4 linked regions of the Caenorhabditis elegans genome follow. The protein of the gene in region 4 interacts with the protein of the main gene of each other region in a pairwise test. Each region holds a gene or a part of one and is shown on either strand. Other genes may lie near its edges.

Evidence for each region.
Region 1: the proteins of siah-1 (region 4) and pid-2 interact in a two-hybrid assay, tested with the Caenorhabditis elegans proteins (one large-scale study listed by BioGRID).
Region 2: the proteins of siah-1 (region 4) and klp-7 interact in a two-hybrid assay, tested with the Caenorhabditis elegans proteins (one large-scale study listed by BioGRID).
Region 3: the proteins of siah-1 (region 4) and gldr-2 interact in a two-hybrid assay, tested with the Caenorhabditis elegans proteins (one large-scale study listed by BioGRID).

Annotation. Positions count from the first base shown.
Region 1 is NC_003279.8:90,534-96,858, forward strand, and holds pid-2 (Protein pid-2), read left to right. Parts: upstream 1-2,488; 5' UTR 2,489-2,558; coding exon 2,559-2,603; intron 2,604-2,648; coding exon 2,649-3,023; intron 3,024-3,075; coding exon 3,076-3,482; intron 3,483-3,530; coding exon 3,531-3,675; intron 3,676-3,735; coding exon 3,736-4,035; intron 4,036-4,088; coding exon 4,089-4,181; 3' UTR 4,182-4,330; downstream 4,331-6,325. Other genes in the region: mtm-10 (Myotubularin phosphatase domain-containing protein), read left to right, coding at 1-74; natc-3 (Sm domain-containing protein), read left to right, coding at 876-1,061, 1,990-2,115; Y48G1C.13 (Chitin-binding type-2 domain-containing protein), read right to left, coding at 4,331-4,396, 4,443-4,585, 4,704-4,779; Y48G1C.8 (DUF7747 domain-containing protein), read right to left, coding at 6,293-6,325. UniProt on the Caenorhabditis elegans protein: Involved in gene silencing mediated by a class of 21 nucleotide PIWI-interacting RNAs (piRNAs) that possess a uracil residue at the 5'-end (also called 21U-RNAs) and that guide the Piwi protein prg-1 to its DNA targets for silencing.
Region 2 is NC_003281.10:10,803,319-10,812,707, forward strand, and holds klp-7 (Kinesin-like protein), read left to right. Parts: upstream 1-2,606; 5' UTR 2,607-2,611; coding exon 2,612-2,780; intron 2,781-4,163; exon of another isoform or gene 4,164-4,184; intron 4,185-4,719; exon of another isoform or gene 4,720-4,864; intron 4,865-5,022; coding exon 5,023-5,141; intron 5,142-5,281; coding exon 5,282-5,498; intron 5,499-5,546; coding exon 5,547-6,204; intron 6,205-6,254; coding exon 6,255-6,716; intron 6,717-6,766; coding exon 6,767-7,078; intron 7,079-7,125; coding exon 7,126-7,432; 3' UTR 7,433-7,681; downstream 7,682-9,389.
Region 3 is NC_003279.8:15,033,129-15,041,994, forward strand, and holds gldr-2 (PAP-associated domain-containing protein), read left to right. Parts: upstream 1-2,880; 5' UTR 2,881-3,136; intron 3,137-3,240; exon of another isoform or gene 3,241-3,246; 5' UTR 3,247-3,248; coding exon 3,249-3,375; intron 3,376-3,424; coding exon 3,425-3,536; intron 3,537-3,591; coding exon 3,592-3,778; intron 3,779-3,822; coding exon 3,823-4,142; intron 4,143-4,610; coding exon 4,611-4,879; intron 4,880-4,924; coding exon 4,925-5,140; intron 5,141-5,642; coding exon 5,643-6,270; intron 6,271-6,418; coding exon 6,419-6,666; intron 6,667-6,720; coding exon 6,721-6,913; intron 6,914-7,146; coding exon 7,147-7,273; 3' UTR 7,274-7,359; downstream 7,360-8,866. Other genes in the region: F33H2.3 (Acidic leucine-rich nuclear phosphoprotein 32-related protein 1), read left to right, coding at 1,404-2,000, 2,056-2,148; cyn-5 (Peptidyl-prolyl cis-trans isomerase 5), read right to left, coding at 7,481-7,888, 7,938-8,144; bltp-2 (FMP27/BLTP2/Hobbit GFWDK motif-containing RBG unit domain-containing protein), read right to left, coding at 8,757-8,795.
Region 4 is NC_003282.8:3,741,163-3,748,847, reverse strand, and holds siah-1 (E3 ubiquitin-protein ligase siah-1), read right to left. Parts: upstream 4,801-7,685; 5' UTR 4,712-4,800; coding exon 4,525-4,711; intron 3,730-4,524; coding exon 3,568-3,729; intron 3,515-3,567; coding exon 3,281-3,514; intron 3,025-3,280; coding exon 2,449-3,024; intron 1,881-2,448; coding exon 1,826-1,880; intron 1,681-1,825; coding exon 1,635-1,680; 3' UTR 1,497-1,634; downstream 1-1,496. Other genes in the region: ugt-45 (glucuronosyltransferase), read left to right, coding at 55-557.

The sequences.
Region 1 (6,325 bases), on a different chromosome or scaffold from region 4:
CCCCATCACGCCCCGAGATAAGAGCTCATCGAGATGATATAGAGAGCCCTACTATTCGGGTCACAAGATTTTGAAGAAAAAGTTATACTTTTATTTTAATTTCCGCTCAAAATCGGAATTTTCTATAAATATGCCCCTTTAAATTGAGCTACAGTAGTCACGTCGAAAAATTTTCAATTTTTTTGAATTTTTTGAATTTTTTCATCCAGTTATAAAAAAAAGCTTGCCCCTCAGCTCTACCCCATTTTTCTTTCATTTGTCACCTACTTCCTTCATATATGCCCGGTTAATTATGTATTTTTTGATGCTTTTTTAGTCCCGCCACGGTTTTTTTCATTTCGAAAAGTCGATCGATTATCGATTTTTTCGAAAATTTGGAAAATTTGGAGAAAATCTAAATATTATCGATTTTAAGCTAAAATTTTAAGATTTTATTTTTTCAAATAAAATTTTGGAAATGTTTTTTTGAAAAAAAAAGTGCAAAAAACACTCAAGGGAAAATTTTTAAAAAATTGGAAAAAATCTTGAAAGTTTGTCGATTTTTCAGTGTGCATTTTGGAGTTATCGGTTTTCTTTCCGAATTTTCATCAAATTTATTTTTGATCTACCAAAAAATCTCTAAAACCCCGTGGCGGGAACCTACTTCACTTTTATTCTGCATAATTAGACAAAAATGTGATTATTTTCTCATTTCAAAACTTGTTACATATTTTGTGTTGTGATACATATGTCTAAATTTTTACGGACTGAAAAAATACTTTTTTCTTAATGTTTTTGAAATTTTCATTATTGGTGGCGTCATCCATGTCTATTTGATTTTCCAGACCCCCCCCCCCCCCTCTAAAATGAAAAGAACAAGACGATTGACAGCTAGCATGTGCGACGATCAAAGTACCGATTTGATTCAGTTGAAGGGACACGAGAACGCGAAAAAGTCGGAAGCCCATCTGAAAGTGCTGGAATACATTGGCAAACGCTATGAAATTCGAATGACCGACGGGCGGTACATACGTGGCACGATGATCGCCACTGACAAGGACGCTAATATGGTTTTCAACAAGGTAAAAATTTGATGAAAATTTGGTCCAAAAGCTCATAGTTTCAAATATTTTTCCTTAAAATTATGCGCCGCAGGCAAAACAACATTCCGCCTTTTTCTATTGCTGGCTTAGTTTTCGCAATTTTCTCGGCTACCAGGCTACTGCAAAAATGATCGATCCGTGAATTGTGCAAACATCTGAGTTACACAGAGAGTGGGGCGGAGCGGAACATCGCAACACTGCCGCATGGTTTTTCCACAACTTTTTTTTTCAAGAAAGTTTCGATTGTACTTGTTTTTTCTCTTTTTTGTATAAAAATGGTATTCATTCTAAATAATTCACATATGCTAAATTGCATATAAAAACATGGAATATCCTCTCAAATTAAGAGTCTTAATCTTATTAGAATTAAATTGGATATCATTTTCATTCGAAAAGAAAGAGAAAGAAACAAGTAAAATCGAAACTTTTTTGAAAAAAATGCTTGATTTTATTTCATTTTCGTTGTTTTTTTTTCAGTATTTAACTTTTGAACGATCGATTATTTATAAGGTTTGCGGTTAAAAACGATGAATTTCGTGTTTTTCTTTTCTGGATTCAAATGACAAGTTTTAACCAATTCGAATGTCAAACACGGAAAAATAAGCGAAAATAACAAAAAATCGTGTATTGTAACCAAAAAGTTCTCCACGAGTAGTACACTAGAGCCGACGCGCCGCAGGTTTGCAAAACAACGCCCACCCCGTTTTCTGCGCGGCACTACACAATTTTCTATCTCACGAATAAATATTTCAGAAAAGGCAGGATTTTGTCTGAAAATCATGAAAAATCAAGTTTTTTTCAGGTTTCCAACGCTGAAATGGTTGGAATTAGGGTTTGTTACCAAAAATCGTATAATATTAAAATCCCAGTGCTTCTCTGTCTTTCAGCAATTTCTTTTAATTTCCAGGCAGACGAGCGATGGGACAAAGATCCACAATTGAAAGGAGTCCGATTTCTAGGGCAAGCGATGATCTCGAAAAAGCACGTGGAATCGATGCACGCGTTGCCGGACCCTAAAGAAACTGAAATTTGATCCAGTTTTCTTATTTTCTCTAATTTATCCCATCCTTTTCTTGTCAAGATTAATATAAATTAATTTTTATCGAAGCGATTTTTGTTCATCTCATCCAAATATGAAAAAACATTCGAAAAAAAATCGCAGGCTTCACTTGGAACCGCGCGCCATCAGTTGAAAATGCTGAATATGTACAAAGACTGGAAAATATTAAATTTTTATGTTTAAAATTTCACGTTTTTCGTGTTTTCCACAAAAAAGCAATGCATTGTCGTTTTTCAAAAAACACTCATGGTAAACGAAGTCCCCGTGGAGTACACGACAATGTCGCATCGAGACCCAAACTGGGAAACGCCTGCGCCTTTAATTTTAGGAGTTTAATTTTCGAATTTCGAGTTATTTTTTTCTCAAGTCTTTTTGCGACTTTTTTTTGAATATTTTATTACTTGTAGCGCTGAAATATGACAGTTATTATAGCGTCACACTGGGGACCTCAATCAAAACAGGTATTTTTCAAAATTTCGCCGTAAAATCTAATAACCAATTTTGAGATGTTGCCACCCGAGCCCCCACGGATAATTCTGAGAGAAGTTCCGGTCCAGAATAACCAGAAAGAGCATCCACCGGTTCAGGAGATCAAAACCGTGTCCAGCAAGTCGAAGGAACATCGCGTCAGTTCGAGCCGGAAAATTCCGGATCACTTCGACGTGGGCCCACGGTTCTACATGAATGTCCCCGCAGATGGCTCAGAAGTGTTCGAGGACGACGAAAAAGACGTCGAGAACGAGTGTTGGGCGGTGATCGAAAGAATAGGAAGCGAGGATGACAAGTTCGAGGCCTCTGAGCTTGTCGAGTACCGCGATCACGATTGGTACATCGCTTTGGCGATTAATAAGGAGAAAACGCCGGATAAGGCGAATTATCAAGTAGGAATTACGAAAAAAATTTTGATTTTCAATCTCATTTTTTAAATTTCAGCACCTACTCTACAGCTATCGAGGCGGAATCCAACGCATAATTCTCACGCCTCAACAGACGGATTCGATCGACAAAACGCCGCTAGTGAAGTACAAAATCATCGGAGACGGTCTGTACGAAGTGCTTCCGATTCACTCGTCCCTTCCTCAAACTGGTCTAATCAGTCCCAAATATCGTTACAACAAAGGCGTCGAGCTTCGGATTTTCGGGATAGTGAATTGGATTGATTTTGTGTTGGACGACGATCATCAGACGCACAGGACGATGGTTTGGACAGATGCGGTCGGACCGATCTATCTGAGTGCCGCGGATCGAGCCAATATTCGACGGAAGCTGCTGCTGACCGAGATGCAGATTTTCGCGCCGTTGCGAATGTGCCATATTACTGTCAAGGCGGAATTTAACTTGTTAGTTAAAAAAAACGCGTAAAAAGAATAATAGTTCCAAATTTTCAGCTCGATTCCCGATGGTTCCCCGATTCAATGGACCATATCATCGTTCCAGCCACTCATCGAAGAATCAGAGAAGGATCCGAATATTGGGCGCAATTTATGGCCAGCGAGAGTGCTCAGATTCGATGATTTAGTCGTTACAAAGAAGGTGCTTAATCATTTTAATATTAAATTTTAACAGCATTTATAATTATTTATCTATTTCCAGACACCGAACGGCTACTGGCTGAAGTCTCAAAGATTGGAGGGTCACGTTAATGTGTTCGCCGGTGCAAATCAAATCGGAATCATTGAGTCGGCGGGTGAAAAATACGCGACGAAGGGAAGCATGATGGCGTTCGTGGTTCCGTGCTATCAGAACAGCACGTTTGCATATTTCGAAGCACTTATCGCCGGACCCCCGCGAGTCGTGATGATTATTACCGAAGGACGCTTTCTGAATTATTGCCCGAAGACGTGGCCACCGTCTGTTCGGAAAATGCGTGATCAGTATCAGAAAGAGCACGTTGTAAGCACAATTTTCCAGAGAAAAAGGCTTTCGATAAATTTTCTTATTTTCAGCTGAAATCCGAAGTCCGAAGTTCACCAATCTGCATGAAACAGCCGGATTATTGCCTCAAATCACTACGAGGATTCAGCGAGTGCCCATTTTGATCACTCAAAGTTTTATATATTTCTGTATTTCTTCTGCCTTATTTTAAAAAGTATTTTCCCGTTTTTTTTCTTTTGTTCAATTTTCCCTTTTTCTTTACTTGTTATGTCCTATGTTTCATGCTAAATTAACGTATATTTTTAATTAGCAATTAAAAAACTTTCTGATTAACTGCCAGTTTTTGAGAAGAACCAGAAGATGGAACGCAGGCGAGTTTCTGAAACGGAAAGGGTTTGAAATTTTTATCAATCAAACAAACTCGCAATTTTATCAAAAACCATGCCGTCGTTGCAAGTTTGAAAAAACCACATATATTTGCAACATTGATAGAATATCATTGGATCGTATGGATCCGCCATGGCCAGACCATCATATTGACATGTACCGTTTAATGGGTTCGGTACCGCTGAAAAGTTGTTGGTCTCGCAGCGAAGTACTACAGTAATCGGGAAAAAGCGCTGTTTATTATCGATTTTTCAATTAAAAATCAATAAACTCGCCGCGAGATCCAAACCTCAACTTACGATAGCTTTTTGTAGGAGTCGATTGTCCATCGACAAGGAAGCCAGCAACTAGGAAAATTTTGATAGGGAGAAGCATTGAAATTTAATTGTTTTTGGGGGTTTCGTTTGGTTTTTATAGGAATTTTTGAGCTGTAAGAAAACAAAGCAACATTTATTTCAATTAAAACCGGAAAATATGAGTCATTATGGGGGGTTTTCAACCGTACGGAATTTGACAAATTTGAAACTACCATAAAATGGTTAGTTTTGTAGTTAGAGAACTCAAAATTGATTTTCTAAGACAAAAAAATTGCCCTTTTTCAGAATATAGTAGGTTTGTATAATTTCCAAAAAATTATTTTTCTTGCCCAAAAAAAAAAGGACAGTCATTAGATGGCTGAAAAAAAAGTGGGCAAAAATAAAAAGTGTCTAATTTTGTTGAAAACGGGTAATTAATATATGCAGAATTCAGAAAATCTAGGTTTAACCCATCAAAAACCATTAAAAAGTGGCAAAATTTGGCAATTTTTGCAAAAACTCACAATTTTGAAACTCCTCTAAATTGGTTCAATTTGTAGCTAGAGAACTTAAAATTGGTCTCCAAGCCCTAAAAAATTGTCCTTTTTCAAAATATAATAGTTTTAAACGTTTTTAGAAAATTTATTTTTCTTGCCCAAAAAAAAGGACAGTCATTAGATGGCTGAAAAAAATTGGGCAAAAATAAAAACTTGTCTAATTTTGTTGAAAACGGGTAATTCATATATGCAGAATTCAGAAAATCTAGGTTTAACCCATCAAAAACCATTAAAAATCTAAAATGATTAATTTTCTAGTTAAAGGATTCAAAATTGATCTTCGAACACTAAAAAGTTGTCAAGTATCCAAAAAAAGTGGTTCAATTTAAAAAAAATTGGTCAGGGAAAATTATCGATTTTTTCGCCGCTTCGCAACTTGGACGAATTTTTCTTTCGCTGCACAAAAATCAATAATTATTGATTTTTTTTCTAAAACAGAAAAATAGATATTTGCACTTTTCTGAAAAATCGATATTAAACGGAAATTCGCAAAAATCGATGGTCACTAATTTTTTTGCAAAACCCCAGTAAAAAATCGCTTTTTTCGCCGCATTTCCTAACTTTTTCTATGCCACCACTATTGATTTTTTTTCCAGAAATCTTGGAGCTTCCCAAACCCGCTCATCAGCCCGCGTGCTTCATCAATCATTCCGTTGAGAACTATGAATTTTTCGAATGAAAATTAAAAAGAGGGGGATTTATTAGACTGAAAAAGTGTTTTTGTGCCACGTGGCGGCGGCCGAATTCTCCTGGACGGGAATTTCTAGGCCATGCTTGGGGGAGATGAGGAGATGGGGGTCAACTTCAAATGTGTGTAACAAAATAGAAAAAAAACTATAAAAGGTAAGAGGAGATCAAAGGTCACGCCACTAGGGCTTGAAAAATGAATGCCTGCCTACAAATAGACATGTAGGAATGTAGGCAGGCAGACAAAAAGTGGGTGAACAACGAGAAAAGGCACGTAAAAAGGGGTAAAGGTTAGAGAAAAAGAAAAAAAAAGCTCACAGAGCACATTAAAAATGGAAAAAAACGAGATCATTGGATATTCTGCTGCCGTTGATCATCGTC
Region 2 (9,389 bases), on a different chromosome or scaffold from region 4:
CCACAAATTTATGTTTCGTGGCGAGAAGAGAAAACTAGGCCACCAAAAATGTTAATATATTTAGTAATTTGGGAACTAACGGGCTAAAGTAAATTTTAAAAAAATCAGTGAAGCTTGGCCACCGATATTTTATTCAGAAAAAAAATTAAAATTTTTATTTACAAAGTGCGGCCTATTGAGAAATTCTCTAAAAAATCTGGGAAAAAATATTCAAATTTCCAGCTTATCACACTCTAACTAGGATGAATTGCTGGCCGAGTTTTTGCGTTTTCTAGGCCACGTGGCAAAAATAGAACATTATTGCACTGCACAATATTTTACTATAACCAAAAAACAAGAGAAAAAATTGTTTTAACTTTTTTTGGGAGAAGTGTACAAAGTTTAGTTTTTGTCACTTGTTCTCCTTTTCTTCCGCCGCCCATAAACATCTAATGGGGTTATTCAAGTAGTGTCGGAAAATTAAAAAGTGTAGAAAAATTACGTCACAACTGTATTTAAATACATTTTGCTACATTACTTTAATAACCCCATAAGTTTTTGCAAGTTATAGAGACAAAAAGACTGGAGGAAAACATAAAAAATAATGATTAAAGGGACAACCGGCCAGGAAAGAAAAAACATATGAAGATGGGCAATAAAATGTGTGGTGATAAGCGTTGAATAGGCTCTCCAAATAAACTAAAAACTAGGCGTTAGGGTGCTTATTTATTAGTTTGGATTTTTAAGGGGGATGCTCTTTTTGCAAGTTTGCAGGTCTTTCAAAAAATCGCAAAAACCTCACTGTTTTTAATATATTTTGTAGTATTTTGTTGTTTCTACTAATTTTCATATCGAAATTTCTAATAATCCAACTGAATACATATTTTAATACATATTTTAAAATGTTTTTTTAGGAAAAAAATAGTTGAAAACAATGGGTAAAATTTTCAAAAAGTACGAAAAATTCTTTGAAAACGGGCTAAAATTTTGCCGTCCAATTCCTAACGAGACCCAGCGTTTAGGGGTGGTGCAACCTTATTACGGGAGCATAATATTCTGAGAATGCGTATTGGGCAACATATTTGACGAGCAAAATAAATTATAACTATATCTCGTAGCGAAAACTACAGTAATTCTTTAAATGACTACTGTAGTGTCGATTTACGGGGTCAATTTTTGAAATTAATTGCATAAATCATTTGTTCATCTATAGAATATTAAAGTTAAGCAAAAAAAAAGAAAAAAGTTATACGACGAAACGAAGAAATTCATTTTAAAAATCAAGCCCGTAAATCGAGCTACAGTAGTCATCTAAAGAATTACTGTAGTTTTCGCTACGAGATATTTTGCGCGTCAAATATGTTGTGCAATACGCATTATTAGAATTTTGTGTTCTAATGTAATATATTCAGATCGAAAGAGACAAATTTATTTCAAATTCTGCAAGTACTCTTTTAAAAATTCGAAAATCATCACTGTAAAAATGTGTGGAGCGAAGTTTTTTATTTTTTGATGGGAATTACACACACACAAACCGCCACCGGCAAACATAAGTCAATCGGATTAAACAGATTTAAATTGTAAATGGTAGAATTTCAAACGAAAAAATTGCCGGAAACCTAAAAAAAAAATTCCAGAACATGGGGGGAAACTTTGGTCTCATAATCAGCAAGAAAAGTGATAAGGGATCACTTTCTTTAATGGGACGCCGCCGCCGGCCAGTGGAAAAGGTTAAAAATGCAATGTGACAAAAAAATGATGCTGATTTTTCATTTTTATGGTATGTTTATTACAGACTTTGTAACTCTGAAAAAGGGCGTTACATATAGATATTTTGATTTCTTTCTTTGCTGGAAAATAAAATTAAAAGTAAGGTCTCGGCGCGCGAATTGTATTTTTTTCTTTTGCCTTTCAATGTGGAATAGTTTTTGCTTCAAAAAATTCAAAAAAAAACGTCTGAAATTCAAAAAGAATCATTAAAAAAACGATAAAATCGATAAAATCCTTCCAAAAAAGAACTACCAATCAGCGATTCGTTACGCCCAAATCTCAACCAATCAGACGGAATGGGCGGAGTTAAAGAATGCTGATTGGGTGGAAAGTAGGCGGAGTGAATCGCTGATTGGTCTTGCAGTTCTCATTTTATCTGGAGGGAATTCTCAAATGAGAACTGCGACCAATCAGCGACTTCGAACTCCGTACACTCCATCGTTGATTGGTCGCATTTCTCCGTGTTTTTTAATTGAATTTTTCTTGTTTTTTTGTGGATTTTTTAAGCCAAAATGGATAAAAAATAAAAAGAAAAAAGAAAAACCCAAAAAAAAAGTATTTTTTTTAATTGATAAAAATATATAAAAGCTGATTTTTTCAAAAATTCAAAAGTCCTGGAAAATCATATGGAGTCATTCTTTTTTATTTCCCACTCCATCGTTGATTGGTCGCATTTCTCCGTGTTTTTTAATTGAATTTTTCTTGTTTTTTGTTGTGGATTTTTTAAGCCAAAATGGATAAAAAATAAAAAGAAAAAAGAAAAAACCCGTGGCATCATAAATTTCGCATTGTCACGTGGCATTGTTTATTTTCCGTTCGGACAAAAAATAATGAAAAAAATATTATTTCCAATTCGATCCCGATGAAAAGTTGCAGAAGTTGTAAGGAAAATCCTGAAGTGCAGAGAAAACGAGCCGAGAAGCCGTGGCGACGGGCTCCGAAGGCCAAATCAGAAGTCGAAAAGCATGGAATCGGTCCACCGGACAGTGATTCAGGGGAGGAAATATCATTTCCTTGGTATAATGTGACCGGTAAGTGAGTCATCTCGACTTTTTCGGAAATAAGCTGAGAGGCTTATATTTCTTTTTGTCGCATTTCATGAACTTTCAGCCAGTTTCAGTTATTACTCAGATGTCAAACTTTTTCGTTTTTTTGAACTCGAAAATACGATCCCGACGCGACAATTTTTGTAATATGCAAAAAGGCGTGCGCCTTTGAAGAGTACTGTAACTTCCTAACTTCCACCACGATTTTCATCGATTATTCATGGATTGTCTCCCGTTTCCGCAATTTTTAAATGTGTTTTATTTTGTTTAAAAAAAATAGCGTCTTGTGCAACATATTTGACGCACAAAATATCTCTTAAGTTAGCGAAAACTACAGTAATTCTAATTCTTTTTTTTCCATTTTCATTCGTTTCTTCGCATAATTTTCTCATTTTTATTTTTATTTTAATATTTTAGCGATAGTAAAGTAAAATTTTAATCCATCCGAGCCCGTAAATCGACTACAGTAGTCATTTATAAAGTTACTGTAGCTTTCGTTACAAGATATTTTGCGCGTCAAATATGTTGTGTGAGACGCATTATCATAATTCTGTGTTGTAGTAATAGTTTTAGTAATAGTTTTTCGTCAAAAAATGTTCTTGAAAAGTAAATGAAAACTGAAAATTCCGCTTTGCAGTTAGAGTTACTATTTAAAGGCGCATACACAATTTTGCATTCAACCAAAATTTTTCGTGTCGAGACCTGGTATCGTACGTTTCCCAAGTGTTTATGTGCAAAGGTTACCCATCATAATCCTTTTTTGCTCCGTCTTTTTGCACCACACCCAAAAAAAGCAAGAAAGAGCTCATAACCATAGAGCAATGTCTCTCTGTCTGTCTTTCTTTGTGAGCTTTTCATGTGTATGTGTCCTATTTAGAAGCACTGCATTTTCTTTCCCTCCTCCACGTCTTCCGGCTCTCTCGGTCCCCCCCCCCCCCCCCCCAACTATTCCCGATTGCGAAACACGAGCTCTTCGGGAACCGAGCCCCCACTTCCAATTCTTCGTGTCCCTCATTTTATTGCCGCATTCCGGCGAGTCTTCTTTAGTTTCAGTCGTTTGAACATTTGTTCTCGAGAAATTCGATAATTTTTATTAGGGAAAAGTAGGTTTCAAATCGAAAACTCGGCTTAAATCGTTGAATTTGAAGGAAAAATTTAATAAATAGTGTCTAAAATTATAGAAAATTATGCAAAGCTTTGACAAAGCTTTGCAAAGGCGAGAAATCAAAAATTGAATTTTTCTAGACTTGTCTAATTGCCTCTGATATGTTTTGACCTACAATTGACCTACGATCTCAGGCGGGCGCGCACGAATTCATATTTTTGTTTCGCGAAGTTTCTCTCATTTTGTTTTTCCTTCGCTATCATTTTAGGTGGTTTTCGGGTTGACTCAGCCGGTTTTTGGCCAGTTTTTTTTGTTTTAAGTTAATTTTTCTTATTTTGTCACAATTTCTTTTTGATTAATGGCAAATAATTATTATAATCTGAACATTTTGCTTTGAAACTCGAAAAAATCTAGAAAAAGAATAATTGTATCGTAGTCGTTTTCTGATTTTTACATGGAATTCAAGTCAATATTCATGTTTTTTAATGAAAAAACATGAATTTTCTCCAAGAAACGATTATTCATTTAAAGGAACATACGTGCCTGCTGAGCTCGTGTCTCGTAGCGAAATTTGTATCGTAGTCGTTTCCGCATTTTTTAGTTTTTAGACCTTTTCAAGAAATTTTCTCTGTTTTTCGCTTCAGAAAAGATCCATTTTCGCGAACATTTCTACCATTTTTTTTACAAAATTATCCTGTTACATCGATTTTGATCGATATCATCAAAATACACTAGTTTTCTCCTCCAAAACCGTCTGTTTTACATTTCTGGAGCCCACGTTTCTGACCGTTTCGCTCCGTAATCCGTTGGAAGAAGCACTCCTTTGTGTGTCCAGACCCACCCGTCCATGCTGTGTCCATCGAGCGGTCGCCTGTCTGCGTTTCTTCACTCCCCTCGCCTATTTCATCCGTTTTCCTCCCTCTACTCCCCCTTCGAACGCAATTTTCGCGCCAATTTCCCAGCAGCAGCAGCGGCAGTACTCGCCATTTCATAACATCTCCCCCGCCACTGACTAATGTTTTCCGATAGTTTATCATTTTCTTTCATGGGATATGAACAATTGTTTCCTTTATTCTTACGCTCTAATTAACTCGAATCCAATTAATTTGTTATTATTTTCAGGTAAAATGCTTGTCGTCGGGATGCATGTGGAAATCAAGCGGAGCGACGGCCGCATCCACGGTGCCGTAATCGCCGAAGTTAAGTCGAACGGCCGGTTTATGGTGGAATGGTATGAGAAGGTGAGTCGCATCCTTCGAGAAGACCATCACTCGTCACAGAATCATGCATTTCGGATGTGATGCCGAACCAAAAATCATGCATTTGGCATTGTGTACTTTCTTTCTTCTCTTTTTTCTCTTGCAATCTTTCACATTTTCAGGGCGAGACAAAAGGAAAGGAATCCTCGTTGGAAGAACTTCTCACGCTGAACCCATCACTCCAAGCACCGAAGCCTACGCCGCCGCCACAGCCTCCTCAAAAAACGCTTCAAGCGTCAACTGCTGTCAACAGACAAAACGGGATCCATGCGCAGAGCATGATACTCGATGACGAGGATACATTCCTCTTGGATCATATCAACATGATTCCGGCTAAAGGTTTGTTGGAGAGTTCTGGTTTAATATGAAACAAAAATTGATTTTCAGGTGCTTCTGCCAACAAACGACCAACGGGAGCTTTCACGCAGCACGTTCCTGTTCGTATGGCTCCTCCATCCGAAAAGCCTCTCCCGACTCGTCGTGCTCCGTCACCGAAGGAGGATGCTGCTCCTGCACCGAAGTCTACTCGTACGACAGCAGCCTTCAAGCCAGATCTTGATAGTACGGCGATCACGGTTCCGAAGCACACTGCAAGGCGCACAGTTGTGGTAGCTCCAGCTCCGGCCCCTGTTCCTGCTCCACCAATCGCCAACATGACATCACAGCGAGCCCCGTCTCCAGTGGCAAGAGTTCCGTCGCCGAAGAACGTACCGCGGTCGTATCCACAACAGGATGTTCAGCCGTCGAATGGGAACTTTGCTTTCGCGGAGATGATTCGCAACTACAGAGCCCAGATCGACTATCGTCCGTTGAGCATGTTCGACGGTGTCAACGAGAATCGGATTTCCGTTTGCGTTCGGAAGCGCCCACTGAACAAGAAGGAGCTGACGAAAGCGGAGGTCGATGTGATCACGATCCCTTCTCGTGACATCACAATTCTCCATCAACCACAAACACGTGTCGACTTGACAAAGTATCTGGACAATCAGAAGTTCCGATTCGATTACTCTTTCGACGAGTACGCCAACAACGAGCTGGTCTATCGGTTGGTTTTTTTAATTTTTCAGTTTTCGTTTTTAAAAATGATATTTTCAGCTTCACTGCAGCACCACTCGTGAAAACCGTCTTCGACAATGGAACTGCGACGTGCTTTGCCTACGGTCAAACAGGATCCGGAAAGACGCACACAATGGGTGGAGATTTCTCCGGAAAGAAGCAGAATGCGTCGATGGGAATCTACGCGTTGACGGCACGAGATGTGTTCCGGATGCTCGAGCAGCCACAGTACCGTCGCAAGGATCTCTCGGTGCACTGTGCGTTCTTCGAGATTTACGGAACGAAGACGTACGACTTGCTCAACGATAAGGCCGAGCTTCGTGTGCTTGAGGATAAGATGCAGAAGGTGCAGGTTGTTGGGCTCAAAGAGGAGCAAGCGCACAATGAGCAGGATGTCTTGGAGCTCATCAACAAAGGAACTCTGGTCAGAACCGCTGGAACCACTTCGGCAAACGCGAACTCGTCGCGTTCTCACGCCATATTCCAGATCATTCTTAGACAGTTAGTTTTTGTTTTTACGTGAAGATTGCTTTAAAATTAATTATTTTCAGAGGCAAAAAGGTGTGGGGCAAGTTCTCGTTGATCGACTTGGCTGGAAACGAGCGAGGACAAGACACGAGAGAATGCGATCGTGACACGCGGAAAGAGGGCGCCAACATCAACACATCGCTGCTCGCACTGAAGGAGTGCATCCGTGGAATGGCTCGCAACAGCTCACATGTCCCGTTCAGACAGTCGAAGCTCACGATGGTTCTCCGAGACAGCTTCATCGGTGAGAAGTCCAGGACAGTGATGATCTCGATGATTTCGCCAGGGATCTCGTCGAGTGATCACACGCTCAACACACTTCGCTACGCGGATCGGTAGGAATTTTATTTATTTTTTGCTAAAAAAAATTCACATTTTTCAGTGTCAAAGAAATGGGAACCGACGGAAGCGGCGAAGCAACCCCAATTCGAGACGAGGAATTGTTCCTGCCCCCATCGGCAGACAAATCGGATGAAGAGTACGATGAGATGGTCGAGAAGCAAGAACATCGTCGAGTAGCGGTCGATCACGTCCGGAACCTGAAAGATATGTCTGAAAAGATCATACGCGAAACGACGATTGTCCTCTCCAACGAGCCGAGTGCTGCCCAGAAAGCCGAATGCCTCGCCAAGCTTGATCAACTTGCGCAGATAGTCTCGAACACCCGTGTCGCCGTGGAAAACGTCTGATTGCTGATTCCCGCGACGATATGCTACCCACTTCATGTACCATGATTATTACTCCCCGCCCCCCTCATTATTCACCATTTTCTATTTATTTTTATCGCATTCCTCCAATATTTTACCGTATTTATTTCATTTAGGGTATGTGAAAATTATTTGACCCTCCCCTTCCATCTTTTTCCCCTCTCGTTGTGAATATTTTACGGGTCCCCATTTTTTCTCGGTTCCGTTTTAAATGAACCATTTTATTCGTTTAATCAGTGTTCAATTTGAAGGTGGCTGTTCCGGAATTCATGCACAATTAAGTCGTTCTCTTGAGGCCCCACGAAAAGGGGAGCAGAACGAAAAGGGGATCTGCAAAAAGGAGATCTGCGAAAAGGGGAGATACGAAAAGGGGAGATACGAAAAAGGGGAGATACGAAAAGGAGATCTGGCACTGTGCCAAACGCTATTTTTCTCGAAGAAAACAATACAACGATGCTCCGATGTTACGCGTCGCGTGTTGTTAAGCGTATCTTCTAGAAGAAAATTTCAAAAATCAACGTGCGTTGCGTGAGAAAAATTGCGTTTTGTGCGTTTGGCACAGTGCCAGCTCCCCTTTTCGTATCTCCCCTTTTCATATCTCCCCTTTTCGCAGATCCCCTTTTTGCAGATCCCCTTTTTGCAGATCCCCTTTTCGTTCTGCTCCCCGTTTCGTGGGGCCTCGTTCTCTTCAAAAAATCGTTGTGATACCCAGCATGCTCCTTTAAACTTGCGTGGGATCCTGGTTTGTTCTGAGTTGATGTTAGGCTGTAATTGCTCGTTCTATAATAACGAGACGTGGTAGTCGGTCTCGACACGACACATTTTAATTAAATGCAAACGTGTGCGCGCCTTTAAAGATTACTGTAATTCAAAATGTTCGTTACTGTAGAATTGTCATCGATTTTTCATGTGTTTTTCACAATTTGTTAAAAATTCTGTGTTTTTAATAGTTTTATTTAACTTTTTTCAATAAATAAATATATTTTTGTCGAAAAACGATGAAAAATCAATGAAAATCCCGCACCAACAAAATTTTGGAACTACAGTACTCTACTCTTTAAAGGCGCACACCGTATCGCATTTAACAAAAACATTCTAATTGTATTTTATATTTTTCATAAAAAGAAAAGCTATAATAGTTTTGAAACTTTTTTATTTCCATCGATGGCGCACACGACACTGGAGGACAAACCAAAAATTACAATTAATATCGATTTTTAATGAGAAATGGGAGAGACAACGTACACGAATTTAGCAGAAGTTTTCTTTTTTTTTAATAGAAGAAACCTAAAGGAAATGTAATAATATTTCTAACAAATTTGTCTGATCACCGTCAACAAGAGGATATAGAAGAAAAAACAAAGAATGATGAGTTGAGCAAAGAAAAAAGATCCTAAAGATCTCTAAAAGAGATCCTTTCGATTTCGGGTCTCGAAACGAAAACGATCGCACTACAAAAGAAAAAAAATTGGAAAACTTAGAAAATATGAAAGAGTCTGAAAAATGAGATGGGCGGCGGCTGGGCTCACTCTGATTGAGGGAGCACTGTCATTTTTAGTCGCGTTTATCCTTGATTGGAGCTTCAACTGAAAATCACCAAAATTATTTCTTTTTCCAGGGAAATTTAGTTTCAAATCCTGCATTGCCATGGACGAGATCGACAGTCGACAAAATTGCACACCATTCGGTAAAGAAAAGAGGCACTCCCTGAACAGACACATTGGTTAGGTTAGAGAAAAAACAGAAGGAAGTAAGGTTTTTTAAAGGATCACTTTTATTTGTGAGCTCCTAATAGATTCACACGCAACAAAAATTAATTTAAAAAAAGGATAATAATAAATTATTATGAAAAAAGGGGAGAACAATGGGGATGTGGAGAGCGAGAGACGTAGAACTTTCAGTGGACAAGAAGGAAGGGAAACACAAAAAATTAGCAAAA
Region 3 (8,866 bases), on a different chromosome or scaffold from region 4:
AAGTCATTGAACTTTCTGGGAAACATCTGGGAAACAATATCCGACAAAAGCTCAAAAACGCATAGAAGATTTAGTTTTAATTTGATTGATCCCAATTAGTTCACTTTATGTATTTTTTCACACAGAAAAATACAATTTTCGCTCATTTTTTTGTGAAAAAAATACAAATTTCTATTCAATAATCATATTGTTCAATATATGTTCTATATATGTTCTATAATTTTTCCTTTCGCCAGCTCACTTTCCAGAGAAGCTCTCGATCCGCCCTCGATCCGCCCCTAAACCTGCCCAGCGGAGTAGCATATGAGACTTATGCCGTTTGATGAACCATGTTTAGAAACGGTTATCCGTAAACTTTTAGCTGCAAGTCTCCATAATCAAGCTCACGACATGCTCTTAAAGACATCTAAAACAACACTGTAACGTAGCACTTAGGGATCAATATTCACTTCGGAAACTCATGTCTCCGCGGATTTTGATGGAAAAGTTATCAACTTTACACGTTTGGAGTTGAAAGTTTTTTATCAAAAAAATCTTTGTTTGAGATTAAAGCATGTGAAGTGCGGTAAATGTTATTGTTAAATATGTTAATGCTGTTGATGCAATTTTTATGCTTATATCTGGAAAATTTTGAAAATTGACCCATTACAAAGGAAGTAGATGAAATTAATCTCAGACTTTGACATGACATGGTATTTTTCCGATCAAATAGTATTATCCATACCAAAATCAGAGATTGAGTTCGTCTACTTCCCTTGTTAGTGTTTGCAGTTACATTGTTGTTTTCGCTTTCTTTGAGCGTACGCCGTGAACTTGGTTCTGAAGATTCGCCGCTAAAAATTTTCAAATCACCGTTTCTAAACATGGTCTATCGACTGACATAAGTCTCTTATGCTATTCCTCTGAGCACCTTCACATGTTCCCCTCGTCAGTGGTGTACAAACGCGCTCCACTGCTAATGCATTTGATTCTCAGCGCGCGCAACCAAATTTGTTTTTCGCGCGCTCTCCTCCTAATTTAGGCCTTTTTTCTTGGCAGTGTATCGATTTTGTTCGTTCGTTGAGCGTTGCGCGTTCATTGTCATTATAGAATCGTATATAAAGCGAATAGAATCAGTCTATTCGCTTGGAATTTTTAACATAGCCTTCCAAAATTTGCTGCACCATCGTTTCATTGATTTTATCCGTGTTTCTTGAGTCATTCGTGCGTGATGTAAGAAACTGGACTCTAAATGGACTAAGCATTTTTATACTGATTGTGACCGTCTAAATAGCTTTTTTTATTCGACTTGTTTCCAATTCGGAAAGAAACTCCATTTTCTGTTCGATTTTTTAATTTTCTCTCTTGTCTCTTACATCTCAACTTTATTTTAATGCCTCTACCTTCAGACTACATCCTCAATCATGCCGTCTATGGCCGAAATCTACGTCAAAGAGCTCAGAGAGAGGGATCCAGCTACTGTCGATACTCTATTCCTCGACAACGCTGAAGATGGACAAATCGGAGGACTCACCGACCAGCTTATCAACTTGGAGATGCTCAGCATGGTGAAGTGCGGACTCACCACACTCGCCGGGTTCCCAACTCTTCCAGCTCTTACCTATTTGGATATCAGTGACAATCAGCTTGGAGACAACGCTTCGTTTGATGTTCTTGTGAAAAATGCTCCAGATCTTAAGAAGATCACACTCGCCAGCAACAAGCTCTCTTTGGATAATCTCCGGTGCTTAAAGGTTCTTCCAAATCTTTTCGAGCTCGACTTGTCGAATAATCCAAGTCTCGGACTCCTCGAGGACTATCGTGAGAAGATGTTCGAGATGATTCCATCGCTGAAGATTCTTGATGGATGCGATGTTGATGGAGAGGAAGTTGAGGAGGAGTTTGCCGGTGAGGGAGGAGAAGACAGCGAGGAGGGAAGCGGCGATGAAGATGGACCCGGACTCAGCTATCTCGAGAAGAGCCAGTTCTCCGACGACGAGACTGACGATTATGCTCCAGAGGTTAGTTTTCGGACTCATATTTCAGAAACGTATGTTCTTAATTTCAATTTTTCAGGGAGGAGACGCTGAACCACGTGGGACAAAACGTGGAGCTTCTGATAACGGAGAAGAGCCAGACAACAAGAAGGCAGCTGGCGACGACGAGTAAACTTCGACGCCTACGGACTCATCATCTCAACCTAATATATTTATTTCAAATATTTTTTCCAAAAAAACTTCCCTCATTTTCTTTATGGCTGCGCTGTACACTAAACCCCAACTTTAATGATCTGAAAAACTGAACCCAAACCACCAGACACTGCAACAACTTTTTGATGAATAAAAAATCTTTAACATTAATCTATCGTTTTATTTTCTTTTGTGGCTTTTGTGTGCATTCTATACCATATTATATTACTGAAACACTGAATTCTGAGAATGCGTATTGCGCAACATATGTATATCTTGCAGCGAAAACTACAGTAATTCTTTAAATAACTACTGTAGCGCTGATCAGATTTTACGTTGTTTATTTTCTAATTTTTTGATGAAAACTATAAAAAAGGCATCGAATTGACAAAAAACACGAAAAATTAGAGGAAAATTAAACATCGCCTGCCACAATCCTAAAAACAATTTGTTTCGAAAGTATCAGCTACAGTAGTCATTTAAAGAATTATTGTAGTTTTCACTACGAGATATTTTACGCGTCATATATGTTGCGCAATACGCTATTAATACGGATTCTCAGAATTTATTGTTCCCGTAATAGTTCTGCCTGTGTGTAGCGCAAACTTCAAAAGTCAATAAACTCGAAATTTGAAAAATTGCCAAAAACGAGACTCCGAAATAACGGGCGCGCGTGTTGTTTAGCGCTTTCAGTCCACATTACTTTTCCCCCACATTTCTCCCAATTTGTTAGGTTTTGCTCATATTTTCCCACATTCGAAGTATTGAGAGTTTATTTTTCCATAAAAGAACCGATTTTCTTCCTAAATCCAGCTGTGCGGTCATTTTTCACGTAGGCATATTTTTTCTCACAATTTTAAGGATTTCTGCGTTCTTTATCAAATGAAAGGTCCCATTTCTTCCAATTTTTAGGTTTTCTGGTTCTCTGCGTTCCATCTTTGAATGAATCTTCGATTGTATTTTTATATGTAGGTTTTCTACTTTCATGTCTAGACATGTCTCCCAATAACGTTGATTTTCTTTTAGTTTTTAGGTTTTCTGCGTTTATTTTCATTAAGAATCAAATTTCCTCTTTCAGAAATGTCGAGAAAACGAAAAATGTCACAGTCGAAAAAGCCAAGCTTACCACGCCGTCCAATTATTCAAAATCTCACATTCATGGGAACTGAATTGGGATGCCCATTGTTAGTTCAGGACATGGATTCCAGTAAGACTAACAAAATTAAAAGAAATAAATAAATATATGTGTATTTCAGTGAACAAACGTGGTGAAGAGCCTCCGGAGAACGCTGACGTGAAGCGATTCATATCGTTCGCCACAATTCCAGCGTGTTGTCTGCATTCAAAAGGAACCGGCCAAGACGCTCAGTCAGTAAATTTACATATTATTATTGCAATTAAATCAATTCTTTTTAAATTTCAGGTCCGCAGACGAGTCGGCAGGTTACGCAATGCTCGACTTTTTCAAACTTTACATCTCTAATGGATTCAGAAGTAAACTTCTCAATTGTGCAAGTGATGAAGAAGTAAAAGAGTTGATTCCTCAAGTTCAACCACTTTTTGAACAATTCAAAGCTGCAATTGCAGCTGATTTTCTGTCGATCAGCAGAGTTTGAACGTCATTTCGAAATTTTGATTTAAAAAAGTTTTTCAGTGCACTCAATTCGAGTTGACTCCAGCAGCGAGGGCACGCGGAAAAGAGCTTAAAAAGCGTGTTCTGACAAATTTAAAAAACGCGGGAGTTGGATACACAACGGTTACTCCTAAGAAAACTTTAAAAAATGATGATGATGACGTGGAAGAAGACGTGCCGAATGAAACAGTGGACCCCAGTGATGCTCCAGGATCATCATCCAGTGATGATATTGTTATCGTTAGAGAAGTTGCGAGCGAAGCATCGCCCAAACTTCGCAAGATGCGAGAAATGGACGGAGCGAAGAAGAAGCTCATCGAAGAAGCTACAATGCGCCTGGGGTACTTTAATTCTGCGATTTTTGTCAAAAATTGTAATGCGAACCCGCGACGCAGATTAAATTGCTGAAAATTCATGTATTCCCGATTTTTTCGCTGGTTGTTCTGAAATTACGGGAAAATGCGTAATTCTAGTAAAAATAGACTCAAAATATTGAGTATAGTTACTAGGATTTTTGACATGTTAGCAAACCGATATATATCTAGCTAAACTTAACATTTAATTTTAAAATCCGTTGGAAATTAATTTTTTTAAAATAAAATAAAATACATGTAATGGGGTTATTCAAGTAATATAGCAAAATGTATGTAAATACATTTGTGACGTCACAAATGTATTTAAATACATGTTTTTATATACTTGAATACAGTCGTGACGTAATTTTTCTAATTTTCCGACACTACTTGAATAACCCCATAAGGTACAAAAATTGCTGCTAATCGTCTTTCAATGAAATGCTATTTTTTTAGTGAAAACCGCCGATCTCCATCTCTCGACTCTGACACCTACTTTGGAGAATGTCAACAGCTGCTTCACGGTCCAACAGAAGTCTACTGTGCCCGTCCCGAATCGAACCAGTTTGTCCAGCAGTACGAAGAAGCGAATTCAACTGAAGCATCTGAGGATGAAGACAAGGAAGCTGTACCGATGAAGCGTGCTCGAGTGGATATAGAAGAAGACGACGACGACGTCATTGTTCTGAATATGACCACCTCTTCTGGAGTTTCGGATAAAAAAGGTAAGTCAGAAGTCCAATCGCAGGCTTCTTAATGAAAAATTCAAGACGTTTCAGGTTCTGAGGACGAAATAGGTGATATAGTTGACGAGTGGGATGCAAATGACGAGGAGGAGAAGACTGACGAACTGGAAGAGCTTGAAGATGACGATATTCAGATAATTGAGGCAGGGGATCAAGGAAACGGTGTAGAAGAGGTCTCAAGCACAGTGATTTCGGTGGAGACTCCCAACAGTTCTTCAGATGAGAATAAGATCTACAATGGTACAGTTTGAGAGAAATGTATTCCTCACCTTACAGTTTTTGGTACTTGTGTATTACATGTCCTCGTTTTTAAAGTATTTTTAAATTATAAAAAATAAAAACGTGTACCATAGTTTTGTATCTGTAGGCTTAGGAAAGAACCATTTCTTAGCCTAAAGAGGAAAAGTGCATACAAAATTAAATTTAAATGGAGAAATTAATGAACATTTCATCTAATTTAAAAAGGATGACATGTAATACACAGGTACCCAGTTTTTGTTGAAATTCGAGGTGGTTACTGCAAGGAGCCAGAAAACACGTTAGATACAAAATCGGCCTGAGAGAAAATTATCAACTTTTCAGGCGTTTAAGGCGAAAAATCATACATTTTTAACACCAACACAAAAAAGATTGCTCCGAAATCAAAAATTGTAGGATCCTCCTCGAGGAGTACACGAATTGCGTATATCGACACTCGCCCAACTGTTCCATTTTCAAATATATAATACAAAATTATTTCCAGGCCACCAAACGCATCAAATTTTCCGAGAAGTTCGCCAGTTGCCAGTCAATTATCAGGCACGAACCATCGGTGTAGTGCTCAACGAGCGGATCGCTGGCTCCGTCGAGAAGTTTGTGAACTCGATCACCAAAAAGTCGTTCAATTCTGTCAAACAATTGTCTAAATTGGCATGGGATCACTACCTGGGAAATGCACAACCGGATTTTGTGTTTCTCAAGAAAATGGAGGCTCGTCAAAAGCTATTCTCGGAGATCAAGAAGCTGTTCCCTGACACAGAGATCAAGCTCCAGACAACTGGCTCAACAGTGAACGGATGTGGATCTTTCAACTCTGACATGGATCTTTGTCTATGCTTTCCGACAAATGGATATAAAGGACAAGTATGCGACGATTTTCACTGCGACAGAAATTATTCGACGAAAATTCTTCGCAAAATTGATAAGGCGTTTCGAAGATCGCATTGGAGCCATCCTCTGAAGAAGATAATCAAGACAATGCAGCTGGTGCCGGCGAAAGTTCCAATTGTGAAAATGATTTTGAATGGAGAATTTGATGGAATTGAGGTTGATATTAATGTTAATAATATCGCAGGAATATACAATTCACATCTCATTCATTACTATTCATTGTTAGTTTTTTTCTCAACAAAAAATCAGATATTTCAAAATTTCGGCTGAATTTAGATAAAATCTTCAATTTTGTAACCGAAAAAATTAAAATGTGTGCCAAGTTTGAAACGCAATTATGAAATTTGCAAGATTTGTTTCTATTTTCAGAACGGATGCCCGGCTCCCAGCTCTGGCCCTACTCGTGAAGCACTGGGCGATGGTTACTGGAATCAATAACGCACAGGACGGATTTCTGAATAGTTACACGACGATTCTTCTCGTTGTGCACTATCTTCAATGCGGTGTCACTCCAGCAGTCATTCCGAACTTGCAATACTTGTTCCCGCACAAGTTTGATCGAAAACTTCCGCTTAATGAGCTTCTTCTGTTTGGCGATATTGCGGACAAGTTGCCCAGTAATTTGAAGTGCTCTTTTTATTATCTGTCTTACTAAATTTAACCATTTTCAGCAAGTCCTCCCAACACGTGGTCGCTTGGAGAGTTGCTCATCGGATTCTTTCAGTACTATAATGAATTCGATTTCACTAATTTCGGATTTTCAATCCGCTCGGGTCAAGTCATTCCTCGGGAAAATCTCCCCCGTGATCTCATCAACAGTCCGATTGTCGTTGAGGAGCCGTTTGATGCGATCAACACAGCCAGGTGAATATTGGAAAAAATGACCGTGTGTCGAGGATAAGATTATTCAGTTTTTGGCTAAAAATTGATTTTGAATCAATTATTTTTTGTGTTCACGCTCAACTCAACATCTAAAATAGTATAGATGGTTGATTATAATTCATAATACCAAAAAAGAAAACATCAATTTCCTGTCTCACTTCAAACACGGTTTGACTGTTAATCACTGAAATATAAGCTAAAAACTAAATTTTCAGAACTGTACGCGATGTTAGCCACATGAAATCTATCAAATCCGCCTTCCGCTGTGCCGTCCAAATAATCTCTTCAAATAAAAATTTTACAATGCGTGATCTCGGTGTAAACGTCACAGAATTTGACTAAAAAGTTAATTTGTTCTTTTTTTTTATTCGCTTCTTTTTTCTTATAGTGTTCGTATAGTGTTAATCAATACATACTTTGTAATATTATTTAATTGGAAACGCACAAAAAAGTCGATAAATTAAAAAGAAACTCGAATTACTCTTTAATTCAGGTGTCTGAAGTCAGGAGAATCACAGATCGATATTTAAAAAGAGAAGTCATTTGAGCTTAGACGACGGCCTCGCGTTCAACAGAGAATGGAGTGTCGACGGCGATGTGTCCAGAAGCGGCGATGATGACGTCTTGCTTCGGGCGGTCCCCAGGAAGCTTCTCGGTCTGTTCGATCTTGCGGACCACATCCATTCCTTCGAGGATCTTTCCGAAAACGACGTGGCGTCCATCGAGCCATGGGGTCTTGACTGTGGTGATGAAGAATTGGGATCCATTGGTATCAGCTCCAGCGTTGGCCATCGACAACCATCCGGCTCCGTAGTGCTTCAGCTTGAAGTTCTCGTCGGCGAACTTCTCTCCGTAGATAGAGCGTCCTCCGGTTCCATCTCCACGGGTGAAATCTCCTCCTTGAATCATGAAGTCTGCGATGACTCGGTGGAACTTGCTTCCTGGATATCCTTCTCCCTGAAAATTAAAAAAAATATTTTGAAACTCGATTTCTTGAGCTGCAAACCTTTGGCTTCTTGGCGAGCTCAATGAAGTTGGTGGCGGTCTTTGGGACGGTTTTTCCGAAAAGTCCGATGACGATACGTCCGATTGGTTTTCCTCCAATTTCCATGTCAAAGTAGACCTTGTCAGTGACCTTTGGTCCTTTGGCATCGTCTCCCTGAGCAAGAGCTCCGACAGCGAGCACGGCCGCCACAACAAGAAGCGACTTCATACCTGCAAAAATTATGGTGTTATATTGCGAGCAAAAAAGTTTAAAAAAAAGCAATAGTAAGAAAATGTAAATAGTAAGAAAAGCAATAGTAAGAAAAAAGCGAAATATCGAATTGTTTGATAACAATAATTAAATACCACATTCGAAAAGACATGGTGATAAGAGTACATTAGACATTTTATGTTTAAAAATGAAAAAGTAAAGCCTTAAAAATGAAGAAATAAATACAAAACAGTTACCAGCAGGAACAATTGAGATGAGTTTTCTGAGAATGACCCGTGCTGAGAGGGAAGACGAAGAAAAAGAACACGTCAGCACACATAAACCACACGGTGCAACGTGGATAGAGCGATAGAGAGGGCAAACTGCAAGTGAGTGAGTGGAGGGTGACGAGAGAAAGAAGGGGAAACCGAGTAAAAGGTGACCAGTGACCATTTGGTAAATGTATAGGACAGGCGGTATGGTGGGGTGGTGGTAGTGTGGTACCAAATGCACACAAACAACAGCGCAGTAATATACTCGGGACGAGGGGGGGGAGGTGAAGACGAGACGAAGATCGATTGGCCTTGACCCGTTAATCGGAGAATGTGATGAGTGGCCGGACGCGAGGCGTCACTTCGGGGCTTTCAGTGTTTTTTGATCGTATGTTGTCTGGAAAAATCGATTGTTGTAGTGGAGAAGGATTATGATTTTAGATTTCACACGGCCCGAGAAGTGGTACC
Region 4 (7,685 bases):
ATAATATAATTTAAATAACATTAAATCTTTTGTTCCTTATTTCCTTATTTTCAGCCGACAAACGAATCTCAATGTTCTGGACACATGGTGGAATGGGAAGCTTAATGGAAAGTGCTCAAAAGTCTGTTCCGCTCGTCGTAGTCCCGATTTTCGGTGACCAAATGCGCAATGCACAGATCGCGAAGAGACACGGCGTGGCACTGATCTACGATAAAATGGACTTGAGCAACACGAAAAAGCTCATTGGAGCATTGAAAGAAGTGCTCGAGAATCCGGAATACAAAAAATCGGCGGAACTTCTCGCGCGGATCCTTGCCACTGAGAGGTTCTCCCCGCGGCAAAAGATCATTGATACGGTGGAGATGGCTGGAAGGTTCGGGCAAATGCCCAGGTGGACGTCTGCTGGAAAAGAATTCTCGTTTTTGAAATATTTCAATTTGGATCTAGTGATCATTGCAGTTTTTATATTTTTTCTGTCAATTGTCTCGACGGTACTGTTGATTAGACACCTGCTCGCGAAACTTGGTTTCTCTGGAGATAAGGAGAAATCTGAGTAGAATTCGCTGGGAGAGATGGGATGTTGTATAAATTTCGTGCATTTTTTTGGTTTGAAATTTGAAATAAAACTTTATGGAATTATGAAAACCTGGTTTTTGTAAAGCAGAAAATTCTGAAATAAAAGAAATGTTTGACTAAAAAATAATTCTTTTTTTTTCTGATTTAGTTCCGAGTTTTCTAAAATTCTATTGATAGAAATGTGAAATGTTTCTTTTTTGTCTTTTCTTCAAATTTTCAGACTAAATTTTAACGCAATTTCTGTATTTCGACAGTTAAATTTTGCAAAATTTCGGAATTTTGAAATTAATTTCCAAATTGTAAATTTTAGAGATTTTTTTTGGTATTTTAATTGTTCATTTTAATTAATTTTAATGTTTTTGAAATAAAATCAAAATTATAAAAATTATTTAAAATTTTATTTGCACTCTGTTATAAATTTTGAAAATACTCAAATTGTGAAAAATTGTTATGATGCAAATTTTCCAAATAAAAAAAACTGAGAATGAATTAAATTTCTTTAATTTTGAAAAAAAAAATGTTTTTTCTCCAAAATTTCAATTAACCATCAAAAAAAGTTCAAAAAAATTTATTCAACATGATTAAAGTATAAAATCGTAAAAATTGGAAAGAAAAATGTGGCTATTACGCAAGTGGTTCAAGAGACAAAAAAAAAGTACAAAATATCGATAAAACAACACAGGAAAGCTCGTAAAATGTGTAAATCGAGTGTAAAATACAAAAAAAAAGAAATTTATAAACCAAAAAAAATTGAAAAAAAATCCGTAGTGTTCTGTGGTTATCCATTCCGAGTCATGGAAGGATATGCTATACAGATAATTAATATTTTGAGGCGGGGGCGGGGGGGGGGGGGGGGTATTCTACATTATAAAAAAAAATTAGAACAAAATATAGTTTTTTTTTCAGAAAAAAAATCCAAAAAAAAAATTTTTTTAATTTTTAAATTTTTTAAAATGTTCTGATTGTAAGGGGATTTTCAACTGAATTTTTTAAGCTTTTCATCACATTTTTGAAGAAAAAAATCAAAAATAATTTTATTACGTTTACACTGTGCATATCTAGTCGTACTCGAGATCAGAATTTTCCAACTCATTTGGGTGGCGCCTGAAAAAAAATCAGTTATTAGTTTTTTTTTTTTTTAATTAAATAGATTAAAATTGGCTTATTGAAAAAATGTGTTTTTTTTGTAATTTTTAAATATTTTCAAACATTTAAACTTGAATTTAAAGTTTTTAAATACAATTCTCACCTCTGTGGAGTATCTATTCGGCTAATAGTGACGTTGATTCCAAGGTTTCCGTTTTCTGAAAAAAAAAGTTGATTTTTGTTGAGGGTAACTTTTAAAGTTTATATTCCGGAACTGACAAAAATTTTGCTACTAAAGGTCGATGCACCATATCTCGCCCAACTTTAAAAACTTTTCAAAAAAACCTCTGCGGATTTCGGTTTTTATTTTTATTTTTTAATAGACACTTTGTTAATATCTTCAAAAATTGACCGAGTTTATCAATCTTAGAAATTTTTGGTCGATGCACCATGTTCAAAGGAAACTTAATTTTTTTGGATTTCTGGTTCTATCGAAAAAGTTCCAACTCACAAAATATTTGTTCTCGTGTTTTATATAGTTTAGCGGTTACATTTTTGTTAGCATTCACACACTTAACCGGGGTATCGGCTGTTAAAACTATTTCGGTCGATGCACCATGATGCACTCAACTATTCCAGCTGTATCCCTTGTCTAACAAAGTTACCAAAAAAATTGTCAACTCACAAAAAAAGCTGTTTTTGCTCAGTTTTAACAAAAATTGAAAGCTCAGTTTTAACAAAAATTGGTAATTTCCGATTAAGATAAAAGCAAAAGTCAATGCTCACCTGCAAAAAGCTGTGCAGCATTTGAATCGAACGCTAGGCAATCCGACTGTTGAATGGCCACTACCACCCCCTCGTGGATGCTTCTCGGTGTGGCTTCCCATGACATTCTCCGGCGGCTCGCCGATAGCTCAAGCCGGTACACAAAGTTATCAGCTTCCTTCTTCGAGCCAATCAGCTGAACGACTGCGTAGAACATCTGAGTTGGCTGAGCTGGATCGTACTTTTCCTGCTTCTCGAGCACCAACATAAAATTATAGTCAAAGCAGCTCTGCATCATAACCCAGTCAACTGCTCCAGGAAGATTGATGTCAGTGGCCAGGAAGACGATATCCTCGCCTTGAAGCGTCGTGATGCTCTTGTGGATCTTCTTCAAATGCTCCATCACATCCGACAAGCCTCCCTGCCACTTGCAGCTAGCTCCAGGGCACGGGCAGCAGTAGGGTCGGAATTCGCAGAGCTCCTCGTGCTCGGTCTTATCAGCGTGATGGAAGTTCAGGGGGCAGCCGGACGTAGAGAATTTGCATGGAAAGCGGACGGTGTTGGCGATCTTCTCGAGGCCCAGGTTGCGGACAGAAGCTGTAAGATTGAAGGTTTAGTCTTGAAATTTGAGATATACTCTGAAACTTTGAAGATCCGTAGATCCTTGATTCGTTAGCTACATTAGAGAAACAACACAGCTAAAATGCTTAGGCGCTCGACTGAGACAGATCGATCAACCAGAAAGGATCTTAGTCTTCTATCATATCAGCTCTGCTCAAGCTGTGGTAATTTTTTCAGCTTTGACTAAACTCTTCTAGTCACGCAATTTTCAAATTTCAACTTCAAAACTCACGAGTTGGACCCCGACAAGTCGGGCAGCACTGAAGCTTTGGTCTGCAGTTCGAGCAGACAAGATGTCCGGATGAGCACTGCATGTATGGTGGCAGCATGTACTCCAGGCATACCGGGCACTCAAACACCGACAAGATCTCTGCACTGCTGTCGTCGGTGGCTCCACCGCCGCCGATTGGAATATGTGGTGCGACGCTTTGGATTCCTTGCGCGGTCGTCGTTGTGTTGTGCGGTACTGGAAAATTTTACATTTTAGCGTTACAGTTCTGAAAATCAAGAAAAACTCACTACTTCCCGGGGGATTACTCTGAACTCTGGCCATCGTTTTGCCAAGCACTGCGGTTCCAGAGATTGTTGACACTGCAGACGGTGGCGATGCCGACATCCGAGGTGTCAATCCGATTTGACATTGCTGTTGTGTGATGCCTGGCGGGACCGGTGGAGGGTTGCCTGGAAAGTAAAATTTAATGGTGCTAGTTCTGGGCTCCAAGATATAGTTTCACACTTACTTCGCTCATTGAGCCAATTTTCAATACACTCAATAATAAGCGCATTCACTACGCAGCAGCAAGAACGCATGTGGGGGAAAATGCGATCATCATGAAGCGAGCGAGCTCTCCGAGAGAGTTTTCAGCAGGTATATAAAAACTAGGGAGGGGCTCCGAAACACCGCTTTACGATGCATATGTCGATTATAACACAGAGATAGAATAGCGAGTTTTCTCTCGGGGGTGGGAGTAAAGAGGAAATGTTGAGTGACTTTAATTGGTGTCGTTTTGGATGTGGGGGGGGGGACTAATGACTGGTGAGCACGCATGGTTGGAGAAAGCAGGGGATTTGGGCTCCGGCTTAAAGGTTTGGCTGGCTGAAGGTAGTGGTGTGTCGGAAAAATCACGTGGTGTCAGAAAAAACCCCTGCCATCACGGTTTGATCTACAAAAAACGCGGACTTTTTTTGCGTAAAACTTTCTTAAGCCAAATAAAATGAGAACTATGCGTCTCAACTCGTGCATTTTTTGTAGATCTACGTAGATCAAACCGAAATAGGACATTCTGGCACCAAGTGAAATGCTGAAACAGTGATCTTTTAATCATGTCTCAATTAATAATACTCAATAGAAATTCAAAAGCCGACTCTCTTGATTCCGTTGGACAATTAAGTCCTTTCTTTAATTTTGGGCCGTTTCTAAGTTTCGGGGATGAGCAGGCTTTCAAACAAGACTCAAAGTTTTCAAAAAAGTCTCACCATTTGAGTGATTAACCATATCTTCGACTAAAGAATTGCTAGTCTGATGTCTGGATAGATGATTCGCTTGCGGAGCCGAATCGCTACTATTATTATCGTCCTCCTCAAAGATGAGCTGTGTACGACGAAGAGACTCGATCACGTCCTGATAGTCTCCTCCTCCTCCACCACCGTTCCGATTACTCATCAGCGAAGGCAGTCGAGATGACGAGGACGACGATGTTGGAGGTGGTGGGTGGTTCGGTGTCTGCGGATGCCGCCGTCTTCCCGTCGTCTCTGTAATTGGTGAGTTGGTGATAACGAATTGTGAGTGTTTTGTTGTTGTCACGTGAGAAATAGTCGCTGGAGGTCAAATTGTGAGGAATTACGAAGAGAGTAAAGTTTTTAGAATAGGTTTGTTGAATCAGGAGTGGCACGGGGTCTCACATGGTCCCATTACGATTTGATCTACAAAAAATGCGGGAATTTTTCGCCCAAAAAATGTGACGTCAGCACATTGTTAACCATTTGAAATCAGTTGGGAACTCTTCGTCTCAACTCCCGCATAGTTTGTAGATCTACGTAGATCAAACCGCAATGAGCCACTTTGACACCACGTGGCAATTTTTTTCCGGCAAATTGCCGATTTGCCGTTTGCCGGAAATTTTTAGAGGGATTTTTTAATAAGACGGAAGCACTTGAAACAGTGTCATTTTGAAAGTTTTTTTTTCCCGTTTTCTTTAGATACATTCATTGAACTTGCTTACTTTTCAAAATAGATGTAGGAACATTCATAGGATGCGTACAATTTTGCCAATTTAAATTAAATTTCTAAAATTTCCAGAAAAAAATGTGGAAAACCACAATTTGCAGAAAAATGTTTGTGAAAATTTTTTGCCGGTTTGCAGTTTTGTCGGAAATGTTCATTTTCGGTAAATTACCGGGAAAGTTGTGCAAAAAAAACAACTGAGGCTCAAATTTTTTAATTAAAGATTTACTAGGAAATTTTGAAAATTTTATATTAAAATTTGAAAATAATCGCCTAAAATCAATGCAATCAAGAACAAAAGATGAGAGATGGGCTAGGAAAATCAATAAGATAAGTAAGGGATAAGGTCCGATTTTCATGAACTTGAATACCTAGTATAGATACTAGATTCAGTAAAACGTGATTGCAAACTATTTGAATAAGTGACTTTCTAAAAATGGAAATTTGAAACATTCAAAAAAAAATGTAATACATTCACAAAAATCACTGAAAAGTTAAATTATGGTTATCTTAAACGAAATAGTGATGAAATCCATGAAGAAAGTGGTAATTTTTTCGGGAAGTATCAATTTTAAGGTTCTATTGTCCACACAGACACTTTATAAATCAAGTCGCAAGCAGAGAACAACAACAAAATCTGGCAAAAGAAAACAACTTTACTATTCGCTTTTTTTTAGCTTTCTCTAAATAATATTTTCAAAACCTAACAAAAGGATTAAAACCCTCAAATTCGACGATTACTTTGCATAAATACACAATAGAAATACGAATAAGAGAGTGAATAAAACGAAGAAAAGAGGCGAAAGGAAGAAAAATATGAAATAAAACGCGTTCTGTGTGCGTACTCTCTCTCTCTCTTTCTCTCTTTCACATCTTTTCACCAACGAATGACTGACCGGGATAGTGTGGGTGGTGGAAGAGACGACAGAGAGACCGACGACGAGATGTGTGGGCTTGTAAGAGAGTCTCTGTGTTTCTCTACCAGCTGACATGCGAATGAGAATGAATCAAATCGATTTTTGAAGAGAGAGAGAGAGAGAGAGAGAGAGACGGTTGGAGGGAAGGGATGGTGAGAGCGATTTTATATGAAAGGCGTATCAGGCACCAATAACCTTTTTAAAGTAAAATTTCAAAAATTGATGGTCATGCACTGTTGGTCATATGGAAAGATCAGCTGTTAGGGTGACTGGTACCCGGGTCAGGTGCTTGTGCTCTCGGTGGTCGATGAGAGGCAGCATAGGGAATGTAGCAATAATAATAAAAAAATAAAGTGACGTTTTATTGAAATTCATATAAGGAAATGTAAGGAAATTATCTGAAGGAAATAATCTCAATAAGGCACACGATTATTTGTTGCTACAACTAGCATTTCAGTAGCATTGGAGATAGCTTTGCAAGCTTTAGGTATATTGTGTTGGTATCAGGCTGTCCCATATCGGTTTGATCTACAAAAAAATGCGGAAATTTTTAGCCAAGAAATATGTGACGTCAGCAGGCTCTTCACCATGCAAAATCAGTTTGGAAGTCTTCGTCTAAATTCCTGCAATTCTCATAGATCAAACCGATATGGGACACTCTGGCACCGCGTGGGTATTATTCAAAGTTGAGGCAGCGTCTGTGGGTTTCTTGCCCTAACAAGGGAAGGCTCTGAACTCGTTATCGGACTTCATTACGCCACTATATACATTCGATAGAGAATAGTTACAGATGATCACTCCAAAAAAATTTATCTTCAGAGCAGGTTCGACCAAGTTACGACATTTTGAAAGTGCCAAAATACCCCTTTTTAAAAATTCCACGAAAGCCCAATAACGTTTTAGTGAAATTTGGTCAAATGATTGAAAAATTATAGGGGTTTCCTTTTGTACCTCTGCATCAGAGGTATCAAAAAATTTCTCCAATGTTTATAACGGCACGTTAAACATTGTACTAGTTGCCGATTTTAAGATTAGCAAAGCTTCTGATAAGTTATCACTGTTTGATTGTTTGTTATATATGTATTACTTATTATTCATATGTTATCCAAAAATTGAGAGATTTTTCAAAGTTATAGTTTCAAATTTGGAAAGCTAGGGGTAAAGTTTTAGTTTTTTTAAAAGCACATATTTTGGAGTGAATCTAAATTTCAAAGTCAATTGACGAATGGTTCGAGTTTAACTAATTCGTTGTTGGCGCCGCGGACCGGTTTCGCGGCAGTGATGACACTGGAAGCAAAAAACTAAACAAAAAGTTTGTGTACACACAGACACACGCAATTGTTGTCTACAACCCTTTTTTCCTCAATTCGGTCTTGGGTCTCAGTAGAGCGAAATTGCACGTGTCTCAAAAAAAGAGAGGGAAATTGTGCTCACCGAGCCACGACACACTTTTCCGTGGTTTTTTGTGGTCAGAAATGTGCGGCGAGAGTACTAGT